Linked DNA regions of Mus musculus. The protein of the gene in region 2 purifies or fractionates together with the protein of the main gene of each other region. This does not show direct contact. Links are inferred from orthologs where the notes say so. Each region holds a gene or a part of one and is shown on either strand. Other genes may lie near its edges. The genes, in order: Psmb9, Psme1 and Psmb6.

Evidence for each region.
Region 1: the proteins of Psme1 (region 2) and Psmb9 purify together in Homo sapiens (affinity purification with mass spectrometry; 3 studies listed by BioGRID and IntAct, counting the BioPlex papers as one, with this or other methods). This does not show direct contact. The link is inferred for Mus musculus from reciprocal best matches to the Homo sapiens genes PSME1 and PSMB9.
Region 3: the proteins of Psme1 (region 2) and Psmb6 purify together in Homo sapiens (affinity purification with western blotting; 3 studies listed by BioGRID and IntAct, with this or other methods). This does not show direct contact. The link is inferred for Mus musculus from reciprocal best matches to the Homo sapiens genes PSME1 and PSMB6.

What each region holds. Positions count from the first base shown.
Region 1 is NC_000083.6:34,184,998-34,188,741, forward strand, and holds the start of Psmb9 (proteasome subunit beta type-9), read right to left. Parts: upstream 2,334-3,744; 5' UTR 2,313-2,333; coding exon 2,253-2,312; exon of another isoform or gene 2,061-2,252; intron 801-2,060; coding exon 733-800; intron 1-732. Other genes in the region: Tap1 (antigen peptide transporter 1), read left to right, coding at 2,883-3,408. UniProt on the Homo sapiens protein: The proteasome is a multicatalytic proteinase complex which is characterized by its ability to cleave peptides with Arg, Phe, Tyr, Leu, and Glu adjacent to the leaving group at neutral or slightly basic pH.
Region 2 is NC_000080.6:55,577,621-55,581,352, reverse strand, and holds the start of Psme1 (proteasome activator complex subunit 1), read right to left. Parts: upstream 2,860-3,732; 5' UTR 2,779-2,859; coding exon 2,740-2,778; intron 1,759-2,739; coding exon 1,726-1,758; intron 1,583-1,725; coding exon 1,520-1,582; intron 1,423-1,519; coding exon 1,312-1,422; intron 1,240-1,311; coding exon 1,194-1,239; intron 1,024-1,193; coding exon 926-1,023; intron 759-925; coding exon 690-758; intron 610-689; coding exon 542-609; intron 436-541; coding exon 381-435; intron 302-380; coding exon 215-301; intron 53-214; coding exon 1-52. UniProt on the Homo sapiens protein: Implicated in immunoproteasome assembly and required for efficient antigen processing. The PA28 activator complex enhances the generation of class I binding peptides by altering the cleavage pattern of the proteasome.
Region 3 is NC_000077.6:70,524,265-70,528,008, reverse strand, and holds Psmb6 (proteasome subunit beta type-6), read right to left. Parts: upstream 2,653-3,744; 5' UTR 2,613-2,652; coding exon 2,514-2,612; intron 2,125-2,513; coding exon 2,057-2,124; intron 1,716-2,056; coding exon 1,584-1,715; intron 1,466-1,583; coding exon 1,336-1,465; intron 831-1,335; coding exon 686-830; intron 593-685; coding exon of another isoform or gene 573-592; coding exon 430-572; 3' UTR 151-429; downstream 1-150. UniProt on the Homo sapiens protein: Component of the 20S core proteasome complex involved in the proteolytic degradation of most intracellular proteins. This complex plays numerous essential roles within the cell by associating with different regulatory particles.

The DNA.
Region 1 (3,744 bases), on a different chromosome or scaffold from region 2:
CTCCAGACCCAAAATATTAGACTTTTAAAGACTTATTTTTTTTTTTTATAACAAAACAACAAAAGAACACCTAGGCAAGAAAAGTGTGCTTCTATGGCAGGCAGTGGTGGCTCACGCTTTTAATCCCAGCACTTGGGAGGCAGAGGCAGGCGGATTTCTGAGTTCGAGGCCAGCCTGGTCTACAAAGTGAGTTCCAGGACAGCCAGGGCTACACAGAGAAACCCTGTCTCTAAAAACAAAAAGTGAAACAAGAGAAAAAAATTGCCTCTTTCCAGAATTTCCTTGCAGTTCATCACTTTGAGGGGCAACGGTGGTTCTATGGAACATGGCAGAAACAGCATGGATGTCATCCCAGTCTGACTTGTGTGTGAGCAAACTAGCCAGGACGGGAGACCAATCAAACTTACTTCAAACTCAGGCAAATGAGTGAGATAACTGCTTCAGAAAACCACCATTTATCTTTTATCCTAACTGCAGATAACACAGTCCATCTACAACCTACCCGTGTCCCTCCGAGATACTATTTCTTTATGTCCATCAAGCTACAAAATATTCATGAATGCCATGGATTCAGAGGCCCAGACGCCTCTCCATCAATGCATTATGATACTTTTTTGGAAAGATCAGCTTCATTTCTTGGAAGGTTATCATACTCCTCAGAAGTGGGCAAGAAAAATGTGCACTTAGGGCCACCAGCTTCCCTCCAACACACGGGCCTTTGACACTACTCACCCCGCTGACACCCGGGAATCAGAGCCCACCACGACACCCCCGTCAAACTCCACTGCCATGATGGTTGTCTGCAGAGAGACAGTACGAAAAGTCAGAGCTAGGAGCGTCTTGAGCCTCCATCTTAAGGAGGAGAAAATGTCCATGCAGGAGGTGACCGACTCAAGGTCACCCTGAAAAGCAAGGATGGTTCCTGGAGGCAGACACAATCTGCATGAGGAGAGCAAGAACTGAGAGGAAGGCCCAGGAAACCGGCCCCGCTGCTTGTGAATTGCGTACCACATGCATCATTACTGTGAATTACTGTGACACAAGACCAGGTCTTTCCTGGTCCTGGATCCCCCACCTGCAACCTTACTTTATCAGAAGGGGAGCCTTAGTGTTACTGAACAAGGGACACAGAGAGGCCGGGGGTTAACATGGCCAGGAGTCGAGACACAGAAGCAGCAAGGATCCTTCAGGTAGGGCACAAATTTCACTTAAGCGAAGTCTCTGCAGCCAGGGGAAAGGACTTCTGGATAGCAGAGTTTTTCCAGGTCAAGGAAAGAATTACGGATAAGTGAAGGAGGGTAGACACATCTACTTCCCCCACACCTTCTAGGTTAAAAGGCACCTTAGGAGACCCTTGGGTGCACTGAGAAAACTGACTTATGGAGACGAATGAGCTTCCCAAGTTGACTCAGGTCTCACTCTGAACCCTTGATTGATTTGATTTCTAAGTCCCACAGCTCCGTGGCAGCGAGGGAGACTTTTTCCAACCTTTCTGTCCACTCCATGTCGTTCTGATCTCCGGGGACCCTGCCCGCGAGTGTGCTTTCTGAGCACAAGTAAAAGGCCAGAAATGTCCACTTTGTTCCTCCACACCATGTTAACACTGTGGTTGGTGGCTTTTAGAGAGCAGAAACCAGCTGCCATCTTCCCAGCTCCTAGGTCTGGGCAAAGTTCTCAGGCAAGCATGGGAATGACGGTGTTGGGACAGGGTGGGGTGGAGTGTGCTGCAGGGCAGCACCTGGAACAAGGAGGACCACCGATCATCCCCATCTCCCCCTCAATCCTGGCGCCAGAGAGCTTGTCCTCACTCAGGGTGGGGGCTGTCTGGGGCTAGGTTAAGCAAAGATCTGTATGATGTGTAGGTAGGTCCTTTTCAGTGAGCCTCCATATTACCTTCTCTCAGGTGCTTCATCCAGGACACCTCAGCACCTCTTTTGCAGGGGTCCCCAAGCCCCTCACTTGATTTAGCCAGTAACCCCAACTGCGCAGTCTAGAGTGAAAGCGAAAGCGCTTTGGAGCAACTTCCCTTAGACGCTTCCAGCTCAAGCCAAAGAACGCACCTTCTCACCAGCTTCGCATGCGGATCCCTCCACAGACCCCTGGACACCACACTTCTGAGCAGGGATACCCTACGTTCACTGTGGAGCGCAAGCGCTGGGCGCTACAAGCTTCCTAAGTCTCTTGGTTTACTTCCAGAGCTTTAGGGGTCCCTGATCACTCCACCCGCTGACTCTCACCCCGAGACCCATTACCCCGGTGTGGACTTCTTCCGTCCGGAACGAGCCGGCGGTAGGTGCTCCTGCCCGCAGCATCTCAGCAGAGCGGGGCTCGGCTTTCCAATCAGCGGCTGCGCGCGGTGCAGGCAACTTGCAGACTGAGGCCCCGCCCCATCATCGCGCAAGGGGCGTGCCGTTCTACCAGCATTTGGCGCCCAGAGCAAACCTGAGCAGGGCAAATCTGCCCAGAGACAGGTGACGACAGAGGGTCCTGCCCTCAATCTGGGGTGGGGCCTGGGATGGGAAAATTCACGCAAGCAAGTTAAGGGGGCTGGGGAAGAAGAGGAGAATGAGATTCATGGAGAAGAACACGACAGGCCAGGGCTGCTAGGCAGAACTCCAACTACAGCTTCAGCGGCAGCTTCCAGAACAGCCTGAGCAAGCCAGTCTCAGAAGGAGGCGTGTCTAGTGATTCGAGGTCGGCTTTCGGTTTCTTCTTCCTCTAAACGCCAGCACTTCTAGTCAGCTCCACCAGCTCGAGCGGGTTCCCGGGACTTTACGCGCACGCCCTCGGACCCGCCCTTCTTCCTTCCCCACGGAGACTCCTGTGCAGCGCGGACGTCGAGAGTCCCAGGCTAGGACCAGACTCTGGACAGCTCACGCTCGATGGCTGCGCACGTCTGGCTGGCGGCCGCCCTGCTCCTTCTGGTGGACTGGCTGCTGCTGCGGCCCATGCTCCCGGGAATCTTCTCCCTGTTGGTTCCCGAGGTGCCGCTGCTCCGGGTCTGGGTGGTGGGCCTGAGTCGCTGGGCCATCCTAGGACTAGGGGTCCGCGGGGTCCTCGGGGTCACCGCAGGAGCCCATGGCTGGCTGGCTGCTTTGCAGCCGCTGGTGGCCGCACTGAGTTTGGCCCTGCCTGGACTTGCCTTGTTCCGAGAGCTGGCCGCCTGGGGAACACTCCGGGAGGGTGACAGCGCTGGATTACTGTACTGGAACAGTCGTCCAGATGCCTTCGCTATCAGTTATGTGGCAGCATTGCCCGCAGCCGCCCTGTGGCACAAGTTGGGGAGCCTCTGGGCGCCCAGCGGCAACAGGGACGCTGGAGACATGCTGTGTCGGATGCTGGGCTTCCTGGGCCCTAAGAAGAGACGTCTCTACCTGGTTCTGGTTCTCTTGATTCTCTCTTGCCTTGGTAAGGGAGACTGGGTGAAAGAGCAGGCCACAGGGGACAGGGCAATGGGCATTCCAGGCAGAAAGGGAGAGTAAAGTAGTCCCGGGAAGCGTCAGAGACACTAAGGAGGCAACTTAGGCGGAAAGAGAAGGACCCAGGCCCGAGAAGGGGTCCAGACAAGGGCGTTGGGGACAGGGTCTTCTGGGAGCAGAACTTCACATCATAGCCCAAATGTGAAGGTTTCTTTCCACACCGCCATCTTCTCCTCTCCTCTTCTCTCTCCTCTCCTCTCCTCTCCTCTCCTCTCCTCTCCTCTCCTCTCCTCTCCTCTCCTCTCCTCTCCTCTCCTCTCCTCTC
Region 2 (3,732 bases):
GGGGCTTCTTGAGCTTCTCAAAGTTCTTCAGGATGATGTCATATAACACAGCCTATCGGAGCACAGAGTGGTGGAGGTCAGCCACGGGCCCCCCGGTAGTTCTGTATCCCATTTTTAGCTGTTGTCATCCTCCACCCCAAGACTGCTTGGTCAGAAATTTGATGGTCTGGGGAAGGTGCTTCTGTCCACCCCCGCCCTCCTCCCCCTTCCTCACATAAGCATTTCGGATCTCCATGACCATCAGACGGATCTCCTGGTACTCCGCCTCGTCCAGCTCGTGCACCAGCTGCCGATAGTCACCCTGCAGTTAGAAACTCAACAGTTAGCCCTGACTTGAAATCTGTCTTCCCCGGGAGCAGCCTGACCTGGGCCTCACCTACCACGTGGGGCTGCTTGGCTGCTTTGGCCACGGCGTCACCCCTCTCGGAGAAGTACCTGTGGAAAGTGGAAGTAGTATGTAGAGAGTGGAAAGAGAAGGCGGGCGCCCCGGGCCTGTCCCCAAAGCAGAGTGCGCTGAGGGTGTTGTGATGAGGCCACTCACTTGGAGATCTGCGTGTGGAAGCCTTCCAGCTTGGTGTGAAGGTTGGTCATCAGCTCAAACACCTTTTCCTGAGGAAGAAAGTGGAGAGCTGGGGAAGCTCAGGCTGGTTGCACAGTAGGGCTGTAGATTGAGGGGACAGTGCTCTTACCTGGACAGCCACGCCAAAATTATTCCCATCCTCTATCCGAGGTATCTGTAGCTGCAACCAGGTAGTGACCTTGGAGCAAAGAACGCGTCTTGGCTTTATCACCACATCCTTCCTTCCCCTCCATATACATACCCCGACTCCCAGGTTCCCAGTCTTCCCTCGTCTGCCCACATTGAGCCCTGGCCCGGACCATTGAGGACACTGCCTGGAGCCGAGACGAAGGCGGAAGAGCTCACCAGATTGAGTTGCTCAGTGACATCCTTGATCTCAGGTTTTAGGCGTTGCAGGAGGACCACAATCTTCTCATTGCAGTTCACTGGGCCACAGGGGGGACCTGGAGAGCGCGCAGTGGGTCAGGGAATGACTGGGCCACAGGGGGGACCTAGAGAGCGCGCAGTGGGTCAGGGAATGACTGGGCGTGCGAAGTTTGGAAAGGGGAAAGCAGAACCGCAGCCTGGAAGCTCTGGGTCACCAGTGTCTTCCCAGCACCTCGCTTCCCCGTACCTTTGTCGTCTTCGTCCCCTTTCTTCTTCTCTTCCTTCTCTTCCTTCTGTAGGGAGGAAGACAGGACTGAGGCTGATGCTCTCTATGGCTGGCCCACCTCCCAGGTCTCCCAGCTTGCCTCCTGTTGCTTCTTCCGCTCCTCCTTCTCTTTCTCTTTGACTGGATCGGGTACTGGGATGTCCAATGGAGCCTTCAGATTGCTCAGGTTGGCTTCATTGAGAGCTGGCTCCTAGTGGTACGGCTGGAGATGAGGGTGTTCCTCTCATCTCACCCCACCCCCATCCCTGGGCTCCTCTTGAGTCCTTGCCTGGGGAGCCCCCGAGTACCTTTAAGAACGCATCCAACTCTGAGATTTTCTTGGGAAAATAGCTCCCAAGCAGGTTCTCTGTCTGGGTAAGACAGTGGAGGAGGACAGGGTCAGAAGCAAACACCCTTTCCAAGGCAGTGATGTAAGGGCTCACACTGCCCAGCGAGGGAGGCCAGAGTTGGGGGAGCTGGGTGGGGGTGGGGTCCCTGATGAGTTAGGTCTTACCTTGCTACACAGGTCTTCACGGAACACATCCACCTGTAGGGTATAGATAGGCAACCCTTCAGAAACCTAGCTTTAAGGCTAGTTCTTTTGAGGACAGTTCCCTTTAGGTGTAGGGGCTGACTTGGGGAATAGAGAAGCCACATCTGAAGAAAGTCAGATGGGTCCCTATATAGGGTGGCCTGGGGTGGTATGGTAGTTTTCAGCACACCTGAATCAGGGAAGAGTTCAATGGATCCCCAAGGGAGGCTGAATTTGGGGATAAGAATATTTCTGGGCAAGCTGGGTGTGATGGCACACGCCTTTAATCCCAGCACTCAGGAGGCAGAGGCAGGTGGATTTCTGAGTTCAAGGCCAGCCTGGTCTACAAAGTGAGTTCTAGGACAGCCAGGGCTACACAGAGAAACCCTGTCTCGAAAAACAAAACAATCAAAAAATATATATGTATGTGTGTGTGTGTATGTATATATATATTTATTTATTTCTGGGTCACCAGAGTTGTGCAAGAGGCGATAAGAGAGCCCTGTGGCCAGGCGTGGTACCACAGGCCTTTAATCCTAGCACTCCAGAGGTACAGACAGGTGGAACTCTGAGTTCAAGGCCAGCCTGGTCTACATATCCAGTTTCAGGAAAGCCAGAGCTACATAATAGAGGGACCCTGTCTCAAACCAAACAGAACCCTAAGACAGTGGGCAGAGAGAGTGCAGGTGCGTGCCCTTTCCGAGGGAAAGTCTGAGGTGGCTAGGGCAAGTCCCTCTCAAGGTCTCTGTGTGTAGCCCTGGCCCCAAGCCAGCAGACTTCACACTAGCTTCTAGGCTCCATTTCACCCCACTGGACCACAGCCGCCTCACCTACTCCCAAGGGATCAGGTGCTTCTGGCAGTAGCTAGGGAGCAGAACCCCCCCAACCCCCACTCAGGTGAGGGGGGCTAGGAAGTGGGCTCCCCCAGAGCTCTGGTCTGCTCTGAACCACGCCTCTCTAAAGCCTCTACTCCCCACTCGAACCCGCAACGCTCACCTTGGCTTGGGCTTCGGGATGGACCCTCAGTGTGGCCATGGCCAGAGCCGGGGGGTGGTGGTGAGCGCCGCACGAGGAACCTGGGGTGGGCAGCGGGAAGGGAAAGCGAAAGCACAGCTCGAAACCTGCACGGCCTTCCTGGGTTTGGGGAGTGGAGGGACTGGAGGAGGCGGGGACAGCCTACTGAGAGGCGGGGGCTCCGCCAGCAGCCGGAGTAGCGTTTCCGCCCGGCGCTCGGGTCTCTCCGTTTGGCAGCCAGGCCCGCCTCCCAACCAACGCCAGCACCCCTGCCCCTTCCCATCCTCGCCTGCCATTTCCCGGCACCCCCTGCTTCTGCTAGGGCCAGGGCAATAAATAAGCCTTACATGGGGGTTTAAAATCCTTAATGATCTGGAGTATGATCTGGTCTCTCTTCGTCTTCCCAGCGTGGTCCCCTGCCTAATATACTCCCGCCCACCAGACGATTATGCGGAGATGCTGGCACCATCCTTATACAAGAGTCAATCAGCTCTGCACAAAGCCATTGTGGCACCCTCTATTCCCCAATAAACCACTCCCCCACAGCAGGGACTCAGGCCTCTATGATAAAATCCATAAAGACTTTTCTTTCACAATCCTCTTCAAGTCCATTGCTTTCCACACTCATTCATTACACAAGCAAATACTTGTAGGCAGTGTTTATTCAGCTCCAAGGACTCTGCCCTTGAGAAATCTGCAACACTCTTCCCCTTAATGTCCTCACCCAGTTCTCAGCTTGGATGTCAATTTTTCTGAGAGAATGTTCTGCCATCATTCTTCAAATGTTCCGCCACCATTTTTCAGAAAGTACTTTCCCCGCTCAGTACGGCCACTGGCACCTGTGACTCTGATACCAGCCATTTTTGTTGTTGTCATTTGTTTTGTTTTTGAGTCAGGATAATACAATGGTTTAAACAGGAGCCAGGCAAACTTTCTGCAAGGGCTTAGTGATAGCTATTTAGTTTTGGGAAGTGT
Region 3 (3,744 bases), on a different chromosome or scaffold from region 2:
GGAGAGATGGCTCAGTGGTTAAGAGCACTGGCTGCTCTTTCAAAGGCCTGGTTTCAATTCCCAGCACCCACAGGGCAACTCACAACTGTCTGTAACTCAAATTTCAATAATCTGGCACCCTCACACATACATGCAGGCAGAACAACAATGCACATAAAACAAACCATTTTATTTAAAAACATAATGCAACCAGCCATCCCCAAAATAATCCAATAATGCTAGTAATGATAAAAGAACAGCGCACTGATAAACCTTCCTTACCTCTCTAATTCCTACCGAGCTCAGTGCAATAGTTTACGCAAGACAATGGTTTTGGCAAGTTGAAGTTGAAGTCAAGAACCTTCACACAGAAACGTCTCTTTAACAAACTGTTTATTAGCTTCTGCGTCGGTATGGACCATCCTTTACTACTCCCTAGAACACCAGGCCTCAGGGAGGTGGCAACGTGGCAATGGTGAACTTGGGGATTTGGTCTCCCAAAAGCACCTGCCGCTCTACCCCTGACTCCTGAATGGCTGCCAAGCGGATCACCCCTCCACTGGAGCCGTCGCGTTCCATGGCCAAAGCGAGAGCTGTAGATAAAACGAGGACAGTGGGTTTGGAGTTAGTAGCTGAACGTGAGGACCCTTGGCACAGCTTGGGAACGAGGGCTGAAGTTCACAGGCGTGGAAGCACAGAGTCTCACCATTGGCAGTGAACTGCAGACATTCGTCCTTGGTCATGCCTTCCCGATACGTAGCATCAACATAGCCATAGATGTACGAGCTCCCGGAGCCTCCGATGGCAAAGGACTGTCTTACCATCATACCCCCCATGGGAACAGAGTACACCTGCCAGATGGGAGGGGGGAGAAAAGCCACCAGTTGCACCCTTTCCCAACACATTCACCCATCCCTTTTGATTTTGGTCTCGGGAAAGTTAATGGTGAGGTAGAGACAGAAAGAGAAACTTAAAAAAAAAAAGGTGTTTGGAGTGGGGACTAGGGATGGCTTGGGTGGTAAAGGGCCTGCTAAGGCAAGTATGAAGACCTGATTTCAAATCCCCAGCACTTATGTAAAAGCTGGGCATGTGTATCTGTAACCCCAGCTCTGGGAGTAGGGTGCAGGGTGTATAATTGCTAGAGCTCATTGGATAGGCAGCCTAGCTAAAAGTGAGCTCTATCTTCAGTGAGACTGTCTCATGAGGAAGACAACCCTGGCACACCTCTGGCCTCCACACACATGTACCCATAAGGATACATGCATACAGGACGGACAGACAGACAGACAAACAAAATGGCCGAAGGGGTGGAGCATCAGAGGTGTGACTCCAGTACTCTGGTGAGGAGGGCCTGACCTGCCCTCCTTCTTGAGGGTCCCAGCCTGCAATGATGATTCCTGCCATCAGATCTTCTCTGTACCGGTAACACATCTCCTTAAAGAGACTGGCGGCTGTGTGGACTAGTGGAGGCTCGTTCAGTTCAATACTAGAAGGTGGGGTTGGAAGATCACAAACAAAGCAATATCAGGATCTGGAGTCAGGCCTTTTAGTGCCTTATGTTCCAGAGCCTTCAGGGTCGTTGTTCCTCCCCTGCCCACAAGTACCTGTGGAAACCAAGCTGGTAAGTGACAGCGTCTGCCACTGCTTGGGTATCAGCGGCTGAGCCTGAGCGGCAGCAGAAGATGTGATCGTGGATAGGGGTCAGCTTGTCAGTCACTCGATTGGCGATGTAGGACCTGCAGGATGGCGGAAACAGTGAGAAGGAGCCCACTTGCCTCCCTCCTCCACCACATCACCGTCTACTCCCTGCAGCTCCAGGGATACAAATACTGCTACCACCTACTAGTCCTCATGGAAAATGAAGCCGGATGAATGGAGAACAGACCTTTACTGGTAGTTCACCAAAGGGTGAGGGGGCCTGGAAACCACAGAATTAGGAACAAGTCCTTATTATCTCCAGGTAGTGGAGAAACTTCTCTTGCCACAGTGGTCTGAGGAGGGTAAGGATGGGCTGACAGGCAGGAATGGTATATGTTTGGAGTAGGGGAAACGGGAAGACTTTCTGTTTTGAGCTCACCCAGTGGTTGTCCTGGAGTCCGCTCCTAGAACCACGCCCCCATTAAACTGCACAGCCATGATCGTGGTCTGGGAAGAATAGTGTAAAAAAGGTAACTCTTTTAGCCTTACCGCATTCTCGAGTATATACCGACCTCAATAATTCTTCACCCGGATTTTATAATGCAAAATTCGTGCTCCGCGAACCTATTATCAAATCTTAAGGGGGCTCAACACGTCAGAGAATATAAAAACTACAATCTCCAAACCCCAGGATTCAGACTCTTATGCTTCAGCCTACTGTTCACCTCTCATCACGAAAGGTATCACCCCACGCCAGCATTCAAGGAATCCCTCTCCCTCTCGCAGAACACAGCGCTCCCCCCCCCCCAACCCACTCAGTCAAACCCACTCGGGCTTCATGTTTTTCCTCCCGTCAGGCCTAGTACATGTCTTCCGAACTCTGGCTCTTTCCTCACCCCTGTGGAGACTTCCCGGTTTTCCCAGTCTGGGGTGAGAGCCTCCGGCCCAAAGGCCGGTGCAGACCCCGCTCGACGAACAGCTAAGGCGGCCGCCATCTTCCTCTGCTACTCTGCCACAAAGCAACCGTCGTAAAGCGCTCCGTCACTCTCTTTAGTCCGCCTCTGTGGCCTTCTGGGAGCGAAGCTGCTTGACGGCAGAAGGGAAAAGACAGAGGTAGGAACTCGTCGTTAGAGTCAGTGGGCACTTTACGGCAGTGTGTCAAATTACCAAAAAAAAAAAAAAAAAGAGGCGGGTCTAGGAAGGGGGGAAAAGGGCGGAGCCTCTTCTCAAAGATTTGCCTCACCAGAGGCTTGTGGCTCCCGGAGGCAAAGGATACTTGGAAATGAAGCCTAATTTACATTATAAGGTTTTAGGTGTGTGTGTGTGTGTGTGGGGGGGGTCGTTTGTTTGTTTTGGTAACTTGATTGTATAGTCTGAAGTATGTGGGTTTTGTAAATAACAACGTTGTGTCGCAATGTTAACAGGTTGGATACACTATAACCTGATTGGTGTCCTAGTTCAAAGAACCCACAAGATAAGAGTACAAACTGGAATGGTCAGGTCGTGTTTTCAATAGTCCGGGGTACCTACTTCCCGGGTCCCACAAGAACTTTTGAAGAAGCTACAATTGTTTTTTGGGAGCATCTATACCCCTTGACAATCACCCCTGCCATATCTGAGGGTTTCCACCGTTACACATTCTCACCTATGTATTATATTTTTAATACATTTTAAATCGTGCCATTCGAGCTGAGACGAAAAGATGGACCATCTAGAAACTGCCATATCCGGGGATCCATCCCATAATCCGCTTCCAAACGCTGACACCATTGCATACACTAGCAAGATTTTGCTAAAAGGACCCAGATATGGCTGTCTCTTGTGAAACTATGCCGGGGCCTGGCAAACACAGAAGTGGATGCTCACAGTCAGCTATTGGATGGATCACAGGGCCCCCAATGGAGGAGCTAGGGAAGGTACTCAAGGAGCTGAAGGGATCTGCAATCCTATAGGTAGAACAACAATATGAACTAACCAATACCCCCCCTGGAGCTCGTGTCTCTAGCTGCATATGAATCAGAAGATAGCCTAGTCGGCCATCAGTGGAAAGAGAGGCCCATTGGTCGTGCAAACTTTATATGCCTCAGTACAGGGGAACGCCAGGGCCAAGAAGTGGGAGTGGGTGGG